Linked DNA regions of Ovis aries. Each later gene encodes a partner of the first gene's protein in a complex. Links are inferred from orthologs where the notes say so. Each region holds a gene or a part of one and is shown on either strand. Other genes may lie near its edges.

Region 1 (5,448 bases):
AGGTTCAGGCTGTTCCGTCTCTGCAGCGGTACCTCTTCTGGCAGCTGAAGAGGCCTCCCCTGCTCCTGATTCCTGACTTTCTTCCTCATCCGTGTCGCTGTTCAAGTTGAAGGCAGAAGGTGGCCCGGGCCCATCTGGGGCAGGGGAAGGCCCTTCTTCATCACTGTGAAGGGAAGAGAAGAAACCTATAGAATCGATTGCCCCAGAAGGGATATTCCACTCAAGTAGGAACTCCTTGAGAGCAGACGCAAGGTAGTACTTGCTGTTCTGTCTCCAACAATTAATTCTCTAGTTGGCACATGAGACGCTCAGTAAAAATTCAGTTGAGTGAAGGAGTATGTGTGGTTCCCCAGCCCAGACTTTGATGGTAATTAGCTCTCCCAGAGATGGCTCCTCCAGCCCCTGCTTCCTCATCCATCTGAAGACTCAGATGCCTGGCCCTTTGACACTCACCTCTCTGGAACGACTGTTGCCGAAGAGGAGGTCCTTGGTCCTTTCACCACACACTTGTCCAAAAGGGAATCTGTCATGAGTAGAAATGAGTAAGTGGAGAGTTTTACACTCACCGTCCCTGTCTCCTCACCCACCCTCCTGATACACAAACTTACCTACTTCTTCCTCTGAGTCCTCAGCCAACAGAAGCCTGGAGGGTTGAGTTCCTCCCTGTACCCTGGGTGTCTCCTCTACACTTAGAGGGCCCCGGGAGACAAAAGGCCGGGGGACATCCAAGCGATGGTACTGGCAGGGCAAGTCAGCAAAGAGAATCAACTCCCGGTCCCGCAAACGATGACTCACCCCAGGGCTCAGGACCTTAGGAGGCCGCAGGATTTGAGTGCCATTGAGGCTCCCGCAATCCCGAAGGACAGGCGCCTTGTCCCAGGCAGAGATTTCAATCACTGCATGTTGTTTGGATATTGATGAAAAGGGCAGGGCCACAGAGCAATCAGGCATTCGGCCTATCATGTTCTTTCCAAGGTAGAGTGGGAAGTCTAAGAATTAGAGAGGTAGGTGAGTTCCAAAGCCATACTCCTAACTTGCTATTAAGAAAAACATCTGTTAAGTTCCCCACGACTCACTCAAGGTCCCCCTCATGCATTAGAAAAATAAAAGGCCCTAGAATAACTAGCTAATAAAGAATATGTGCAATGCATTATTCATAGTCAACATTCCATCCATCTACACTGGATTGTTTCTATTGTGGTAAAATATATATAAAATTTGGGCTTCCCAAATAATAATGTCCCCAGTAAGACATTTTTTCCAGATCTCACAAATGCATATCTAAGCTTGCAATCATCCTATTACCTCCCCACAGAAATAAGAGGCCAGTACTTTAGCATGAAATTACTCCTGACCTTTTTCTGGTCCATAGGAACTACTGAAGATATGCAGCTGTGCTAGGGGCTCCAAGCTATACCCCAGAGATTCATTGGGGCTCTCTGCAACCTCCTCCTCTTCTTCAACTTCCCAGTTTAAAATCTGGGTGTCTTCCATGATCTGAGAAAAAAACACATTATCCCTTCCTTCAGTGGCTCACACACACAGCCTCAGGGAGGAGACTGGTTACTGCAGTCTCCTGGATAGCTATGGAGGCTGATGCTTCTCTTTCTGCCAATCATTCTGTTGTTATTCCTCTGAAGCATTTAAGAAATATCTCTGACCATGACACAGAATAAGAAAGAAATGTAACAGAGTTCCAAGTACAGAAATATAAGGGTCTTCCCTGGTTGTCCAGTGGCTAAGACTCTGCACTTCCACTGCTGGGGGGTGCAGGTTCCATCCTTGGTCAGGGAACTAAGATCCTGCATGGCCAAAAAACCAAAAAAAAAAAAAAAAAAAAACCACCCACAGAACACCAACAAAACAAACAAACAAAAACTGAGTTGAGAGACTTCTCTGGCGGTCCAGTGGCTAAGACTCTGTGCTCCCAATGCAGGGGGCCAGGGTGCAACGCCGGGTTAGAGAACTATAGCCCACATGCCCCAACTAAGGCCACACAGCATGTGGGATCTTAGTTCCCTAACCAGGGATTGATCCCTTGCCCCTGTAGTGGAAGCACGGAGTCCTAACCACTGGACTGCCAGAAAACTCCTTATTTTACTTTCTATTTCTCAGATAAAGAAACTGCAACAGGGATGGAGTAACAGATTTGTCTAAGATCACTCAGATAATGGGGCTTCCCTTGTGGCTCAGCTGGTGAAGAATCTCCCTGCAATGCGGGAGACCTGGGTTCAACCCCTGGGTTGGGAAGATCCCCTGGAGAAGAGAAAGGCTACACACTCCAGTACTGTGGCCTGGAGAATTCCAGGGACTGTAGAGTCAGATAAGACTGAGTATCTTTCACTCAGATAATGTCTCTTCCTGTTTAATATTCTTTGATGGTTTTCCATACCCATAGGATAAAATATATCTAAACTCCTTAGCAAGACCCTCAACGATCAGAACCTCATCTCCTGAAATGTGTGTCCCATCCCCACCCCGTCCAAGCCTGTGGTTCTACAACATGGACCTTCTCCTTAATCTCTGAACACACTGTCCTCGTTCTCTCACATCTGCAGGCCTTAGCCAGCTCCTTAGGACGTTGCCCCTAGTGTTGTGATCCAACTCCTATCCATCCTTTTAGCTCAAATGTCACTTTCGAAGCAAAGCCTTGCCTTTAGTCTTCTCTGTGTTCTGGTACTTTCCCCTATTTCCCATGTATCCTAAGTGTTTCACGGTGGTTGGTGGACTTATATTATCCTAATAGGTCTCACCATAGTGTAACTATTACATTCCATTTCTGCCTCACACATCCCCCTTGAGAACTGGACCAGTTAGAACTGTCTTTTCCCCAAGGGTCCATCATGTTAATTCAACAGTAGTTACTGTGTACCTGATACCATTAGAGATATTTCGAATACATTCATGAGTCAAACGTAAAATTAACTCTGCTCTCCTGATGAAATAATAAGATGAAAAGTCAAACTAGTATGGGTGGGAATTAAATTTGAAAGATGCTACCTTAAAGGGAAAATGTAGACAAGGAAAGTGGGACACCTCCATGGAGAAAGTGTTAACATCGTTTCATGAAGGCGAAATGAGCGGCGCCCACGACCTTCGGCTCCAATCCAATGGGCCTTCAACTTTGATCTCGATCCCAAGGGTTCCCTCTGAGCCCAACCTCTCCCAGTGTCTTCATACCTAAACTCAGGGAGGGCCGTCAAGTGAAGATGAGGGTTATAATCCGAGAAGCAAATTTCCAAGAATCCTCCGCCCAGTCGTAACCAAGGCACGCCCCTCCCGCCCTCCGGGAGAACCAAGATGGCATCCGGGGAGTCGTGGGCGAGGCCCCCCAGAACTCACCTACTTTGAGTCCCCGCGCGCGCCACCAGTAACGGCTGCGACAGGGGTGGTGCCAGTGCCTGAGCGGGGAAGGGGCTGATTAGCTGATTGGCTGAAGCCTTTGTCTTTCTCGGCCCTGCGGCAAGCAGACGGAGCAATCCAACGCGGAGGCATAGCCGGAGCCCCGCCCCCGCCCCGCCCCGCCCCCTTACGGCTCAAAGGGGCGGCTTCTCCGGGGAGACAGATCCGTTGGACGAGGCGGTAATCGGAAGCCTCGGAGGCGCACAGAATAGCGCACTTCGATTGGGCAGCTCCAAAGGGACAACCCACTGCGGTTTCACCACCCACTTCCCGCGTATATTTCCAAGTTGCGACCACAGAGTCTGGATGCCAGCAGCGGATAGAGGGGCTTACCACAGTCGTCGACCTAAGCATGTAGTGCGGCCAGAGCGCCTTCTCTGGTCCTCCCAGAAATGGTGTCCGCTGACTCATGAGAAATATAAGGGTTGCGGGCTGCAGTCGTGGCTGAAGACTTCAGTCTGGAGAATAGCCCGTAGGCGTGGCGCTTGAGGACTCACTACAATGGAAGTTCATTTCCTTTTGATTTAGCTCATCTAGAAGTCATGTCATTTCCTCCCTGAGAATCCATTCCTGATGGACACTTTGAGGTCATTATCCTAGAGTAAAGATATCTAGGCAAACGGAGAGAACTCTTTTGTTAACCATCTTAAAGGCTGACCGAGGTCTTTGAAGGGCTACAGAATGGTAAATTATTTTGCTAAATTTCATACTAAGACAATTTCACAGGAATAATTTAGGAGGACCTTTTGCATTAGTATTCTCACTTCGTTCTGACCAGAAATAAGAGTTCTGCGGAAGTTAGCTTGCCTAGGCTCCTACGGCTGTTAGAGACAAACTGAAACTGTTTAATCGTGAATTCTGAACTCTCTTCACTACCACAAAATAACTACTTTCACTGTGATTGTGCCTTCAAACATAAACATTTTAACTGGGTAGACGAGTTTTACAGAAATTTATGTTCTTTTATTTAGAAGATGAGAAATGTGTGTTGAATCCAGTGTGAATTAACACCTTGCTATCATCTAACCAAGTGCCTCATAGGTAAACAGCTCTCTTGCCAATTCAGGAGACGCAGGAGAAACGAGTTCGATCCCTGGGTCGGAAAGATTCCGCGGAGAAGGAAATGGCAACCAGCTCCAGTATTCTTGCCTGGGAAATCCCATGGACAGAGGAGCCAGGCGGGCTGCAGTCCATGGGGTCGCAAAGAGTCGTACATGACTGAGCACATACGGAGCCTGATATCCCATGTCCTTTAATCATGGTGCTTACCACACTAGTGGTTATACACTTCTCACCAAATTGCAAGATCCTGGAGGACAGTGAGGTAAGGTGAAGGTGAAGTCGCTCAGTCGTGTCCTCTTTGCGACCCCATAGATTGTAGCCTACCAGGCTCCTCCGTCCATGGGATTTTCCAGGCAAGAGTACTGGAGTGGGTTGCCATTTCCTTCTCCAGAGGATCTTCCCAACCCAAGGATCGAACCCGGGTCTCCCACATTGTAGGCAGACGCTTTACCGCCTGAGCCACCAGTGAGCTAATCCTTCATCCTAGCTCCTTTGGTGGACATTTAATATCGCTCAAGTTGAATTAATCCCTGAGAAGAAACATGCCACTCAGATTTGAGCTCATCCATTTTTTTCCCATCACCCTCCCTACTTTTATTTTAATCCCGAGGTTCTTGAAAGATTGCAATGGTCAACCACCTCTCAGTGAAATCAGCGAGTTGAAAAAACACTGACTTCATCAAAGTGCCTATCAGGTATCTCACCCCACAGTTCGCCTCTTGACAAAACTGTGTTAAACGCTGCTCTAAGGCGCAGATTCCCCACATGGACGGAGACTTCCGGCATATCTGCTTCTCTATTCTTGAACATACCTTCCAAACAATTACTTTTTATACTGAAAAGTCCTTGATGCAATTTTGTTTCTTTCTAAATATTATCGTTAGAAAGCTCCCAAGGAAATAGCAGGAAGGCAATGCCCTCCTCCTTCCCGAGATATCTGGGGGAGCCGGAGCTCACTGGAGTTCATGCCAGTTGGGTCACCAG
Region 2 (4,826 bases), on another chromosome or scaffold:
CTTTGGAACTAAAAATATTTCTACTATTCTAAAAAATTCAGCATTCCATTAAGAGGGTTGACTATAAAGTGACTTTAAAGAAATATTTTGTTACTGACTACAGCAAAGACACCTCCAGGCCTTTTTATCTTCATTTTATCTCATAAATTTAAGAAAAAGTGTAAAGTCATTGGGACAATAATTATAAGAACAACATTATGAGGCACTTTATATCCTATTTAAGTTTGTTTCAAAAAAGCCCAAGGCTTTACAAAAACCCAATATTGAGAGACGATGTCATGAATATCAAGAATCTTGCTTATGTCTTTAAGGTTTGGCTTTTCTATCACTGATTTATAAAATCATCAGTACTGGATTGGTACAAAGAATGAGAGAAATAAAAACTTACTATACCATTAGCTTTGACCAAATATGTGCTGAGAAGAAAGTTTAACTTCACGTATATGATATGAATAATTAGAAACTGTACTTTTAGTTGCCTAGAGAGGAAAGTGAGAAGTAACAGCAAAAAAGATCATAAATGTGTATAAAATATCCCTTGGTTTCTTTTTTGGATAATAATAGATAATAGTAATTTTTACAGCTACCAATACTAGTAGCTAAGTGTTTACCAGGTACCTGGCACAGTTCTGAATACTTCAGAGGGACTAACACATTTAAGCTTCCTAATAGTCATCTGAAGGAAGTTCTATTATCTCACTTTATAGGAGGAAACTGATGCAGAGAGTGGCTAAGTAATGTTTACCAGAAATTCTGATATCAGAGCCCATCTCTTACCCATGCTATGTGGACTTTTATACATGGGGTTTAGAAATCAAAATATATTTTAATGAAATGCATTAAGTGTGATAACCTTTAAGCTGACCACAGCGAAAGTCAATTACAACAGGTTTTTAACCTTTTTTTGTTTTTTAAGAAAAAAAGTTTAGATGTTATAATACCTGAAACATATCAGTGTTGCTGTCATGAGTATATTCAACCACTACTGTCTGTGCTCGAGACAAGGTGTATGATATGCTATGCTGGTCCTTATTGCTTATTGCCTAAGAAAAAAAAAGATTAATAGCAGAAATTAGCAGGTACATCAATCTAAATAGATAACCATAATAGATAAAAGATAACCTTTTTTTCAAAAAAAAAAGAGAGGGAGCTGTGCTCATTATACTATAACAATGTAATTGGAAAAAGAATTTGAGAAAGAAGAGATACATATAAATGTATAACTGAATCACCCTGTTGCACACCCAACACTAATACATTGTATTGGAGTATATGTACTCCAACATAAAACAAAAGTTAAAAAAAAAATACCACTATATTGCTTCAAGGGTAAGTCAACTATTTTATAATTACAAAACAAAACATCTCTTATGTCACTGCTGGTATTCATTTCAACCATACACAGACGTATAAAAATATATATGTTAATACATAATCAAGGACATCACTGCTGCTACTTTGAATAAAATGTTTGATCAATTGAGAATAAGAAAAATAGAGGTTTTTATTCTTTCTTTAAAAAACAATGATCTATTTATTACATGTATGACATATTTTCCCCCTGAAATTTAGAGATTAATAACTTGCATAACCTTTGCTGTGACAGTGGTTTCTTAGAGTGAGTGGAGTACAGAAGAATTTAGGCAGACCTCATTTTATTATGCTTCACAGATAACTGAATTTTTTATAAACTGAAGATTTGTGGCAACTCTGCATTGTCAGATGATGGTTAGCATTTAGCGTTAAAAGTACTTTAAAATTAAGGGCTTTCCTGGTGGCTCAATGGTGGGAAAGTCCATGGAGAGGGGAGCCTAGTAGGCTACAGTCGATGAGGTCGCAAGAGTTGGACACAACTGAGTAACTTTCATGATGCTATTACTGAACACTTAGTTCTCAGTCACTCAGTCATATCCGACTCTTTGTGACTGATGGACTGTAGCCCGCCTGGTCCTCTATCCCTGGGGTTCTCCAGGCAAGAATACTGGAGTGGGTTGCCATTCCCTTCTTCTGGGGATCTTCCTGACCCATGGATTGAACCCAGGTCTCCTAAATGGAGGTGGTTATTTACCAGGTGGATTCTTCACTCTCTGAGCCACCAGGGAAGCCTGCACACTTAGGGGACCACAGCATGGTGCAAACATAACTTTTATATATATATTAGGAAATGAAACCAGTTGTGATTTGCTTTATTGTGGTGGTCTGAAACTGATCCCAAAATATATCTGAGGTCTATCTGTGCACTGAAGCAATTACAGAGTAAAAACATAAGTTCACTGTATAAAAAAATTGTAAAATCTGAGTCTCCATTATAAGTATTTCAAGTTATAAGATACTTAAAAATCAAATCCCAGATAGAAAATGAAAGCAGTACTCAGTACTGCTCTGATAAGGAGAAAACACAAAATCTTGCAAGACAAGATTATTTATTTAAGAATCTTATTTAATAACTCAAAGAGGCTTAAAGTTAACAAATAAGCAAAGTTAACTGGTTTTTCTAGCCACTCTGTGACTCTATAGATGACAAGTATTTGCCATATGCTAGGCTAGATACAGAAAAATTCATAGAATGATTAAACATACCAAAGGAAATGGATATAATGCTTATGACTGTACTTTTGACATATGCCAAACTAAAAACATTGTTAAAAAGAACTTCTCAGTTTTGTTTTCGGGCGTTTTCTATGCATATGAGTTGATGATAATATCAGAGGGGGAAAAACCTGCACAGAGGAAGTGGAAACAGGCTGTGTAAAAGAAACAGAGAAAGACACAGAAGAATGATTATATGCAGCAAAGAGGCTAAATGAAAACAAAAAAACACTTTCGTAATTAGAACTTTGGTATTATGAAATTTTACTTGGTTTCAATTGGTAGCTAACCTGTAATGATAAAGTCTTCATAGTTTTAAGATAATTAAGACTGTGAAATTTTCAAATATACAAAAAGAATATATAAATACCTGGGTACTAACTACCCAACTTTTATCATTCTTACTAATACCATTTCTGCTTCTGATATTTTAAAAGAAATTAAACTGCAGATATAATGAAGGCTGCTTATATGTCCTTCCCTACTCCTGTCTCTGTAGAGGAACTGAACCTCAAGAGTACAGTTAACGTCACTCCCATGCACTTTAACAGGCTTTATATGCAGGCTTTACCACACATTGATGCACTCATAAACATGACAAAATGGTTTTAAAGATTTAAAAATCTATAATTACTTTATCTCAACATTAAGCAGCTGACTTTTCAATGAAATAATTTTTTAGTACTTTGGCCATTAATTCTTAAAGGCTAAAGGGATTTAAAAACACAGGTTTTGTATACTTTGAGATTATAAACTGTGTTTTTTTAAACTATGAGATCTACTCAGATTGAGAATACAGAGCTGTGTCAAGTTAAATTCTCACTGGATTGGAAGTCAGGGTTTAAGCACTCATCCCAGATGACTGCTAGACTAAACAGTTAGTTTTCTCCCTGACCTCATTATACACTCCTCCAAAACTGAAAAAGCAGAAAGTCAATTTTTGATCCCTAAGATTCCTGCTGCCTAGTAAAGATGCAAAGGAGCCAGCAATGAAACATGAGAAGTATGACAGTAAAAACATGAAGAGACGTACACAACAGGAAATTACAGAAGCAAGGCTTAGAAAGATTTCCCTAGGATAGTAGTTCTTAACCAGAGGTAGTGTCAGCTGTGTAAGGGGCGTTTGCCGGCTGTGTTTGCTGGCCATCACAATGATTTGAGGGCTGAAATGGCATTCAGTGGGAAGGGACCAAGAATATTAGGTTGGTGCAAAAGTAATGGCTGTTCTGCATTGTTGAACTCTGCCTTTAATACTGGAATAAATTCCTAAATAAATGTGGCTATGTTATTATACATCATTTTAATGTGCATTTCTCACTTTATTTTTTTTGCTAATGACTTATTACTTGTTTATATTTATTTTAGACTACAGAAATGATGCTAGATATAAAGCAAATTTGGGCAATTTTTTTATTCGAGTTCAAAACGGGTCATAACGTAGCAGAGACAACTTGTAACATCAATAATGCATCTGGCCCAGGAACTGCTAGTGAACGTACAGTGCAGTGGTGGTTCAAGAAGTTTTGCAAAGGAGACAAGCGCCTTGAAGATGACGAGTGTGGTGGCTGGCTATCAGAAGTTGACAGTGACCAACTGAAAGCATCACTGAAGCGGATCCTCTTATAACTACACAAGAAATTGCCAAAGAATTCAACGTCGACCATTCTACGGTCATTTGGCATTTGAAGCAAATTAGAAAGGTAAAAAATCTTGGTAAGTGGGTGCCTAATGAGCTGACTGCAAATCAAAAAAATCATTTTGAAGTGACATCCTCTCTTATTCTACACAACAACAAACCATTTTTCAACCGGATTGTGACATGTGACGAAAAGTGGATTTTATACAACTGGCAATGATCAACTCAGTGGTTGGACTGAGAAGCTCCAGAGCCCTTCTCAAAGCCAAACTTGCACCAAAAAAATGTCATGGTCACTGTTTGGTGGCCTGCTGCCCATATGATCCACTATAGCTTTCGGAATCCTGGTGAACCGTTACATCTGAGAAACATGTTCAGCAAATCAATCAGATGCACCCAAAACTGCAACACCTGTAGCCGGCAATGGTCAACAGCAAGGGCCCAATTCTGCTCCATGACAATGCCCGGCCACACACTGCACAATCAATGCTTCAACAATTAAATGAATTGGGCTATGGAGTTTTGTCTCATTCACCATATTCACTGACTCTCTTGCCAACCAACTACCACTTCTTCAAGCATCTTGACAACTTTTTGCAGG

The links. The genes of interacting proteins can lie anywhere in the genome.
Region 2: the proteins of MDC1 (region 1) and PELI1 are in contact, whole or in part, in a crystal structure (PDB 9IF9), measured with the Homo sapiens proteins. The link is inferred for Ovis aries from reciprocal best matches to the Homo sapiens genes MDC1 and PELI1. Residues at the interface, in NP_055456.2 of Homo sapiens: Glu761, Asp762, Ser763, Glu764, Thr765, Gln766, Pro767, Phe768, Asp769; in NP_065702.2 of Homo sapiens: Arg104, Ser105, Thr106, Glu107, Thr115, Asp116, Val130, Gln131, Ser132, Thr133, Ile134, Ser135, Arg136, Phe137, Thr185, Asn186, Thr221, Arg222, Ser223, Ala224, Cys247.

What each region holds. Positions count from the first base shown.
Region 1 is NC_056073.1:27,419,170-27,424,617, reverse strand, and holds the start of MDC1 (mediator of DNA damage checkpoint protein 1), read right to left. Parts: upstream 3,382-5,448; 5' UTR 3,043-3,381; coding exon 3,001-3,042; intron 1,498-3,000; coding exon 1,356-1,497; intron 990-1,355; coding exon 609-989; intron 524-608; coding exon 454-523; intron 164-453; coding exon 1-163. UniProt on the Homo sapiens protein: Histone reader protein required for checkpoint-mediated cell cycle arrest in response to DNA damage within both the S phase and G2/M phases of the cell cycle.
Region 2 is NC_056056.1:44,196,332-44,201,157, reverse strand, and holds part of PELI1 (E3 ubiquitin-protein ligase pellino homolog 1), read right to left. Parts: intron 1,044-4,826; coding exon 942-1,043; intron 1-941. UniProt on the Homo sapiens protein: E3 ubiquitin ligase catalyzing the covalent attachment of ubiquitin moieties onto substrate proteins. Involved in the TLR and IL-1 signaling pathways via interaction with the complex containing IRAK kinases and TRAF6.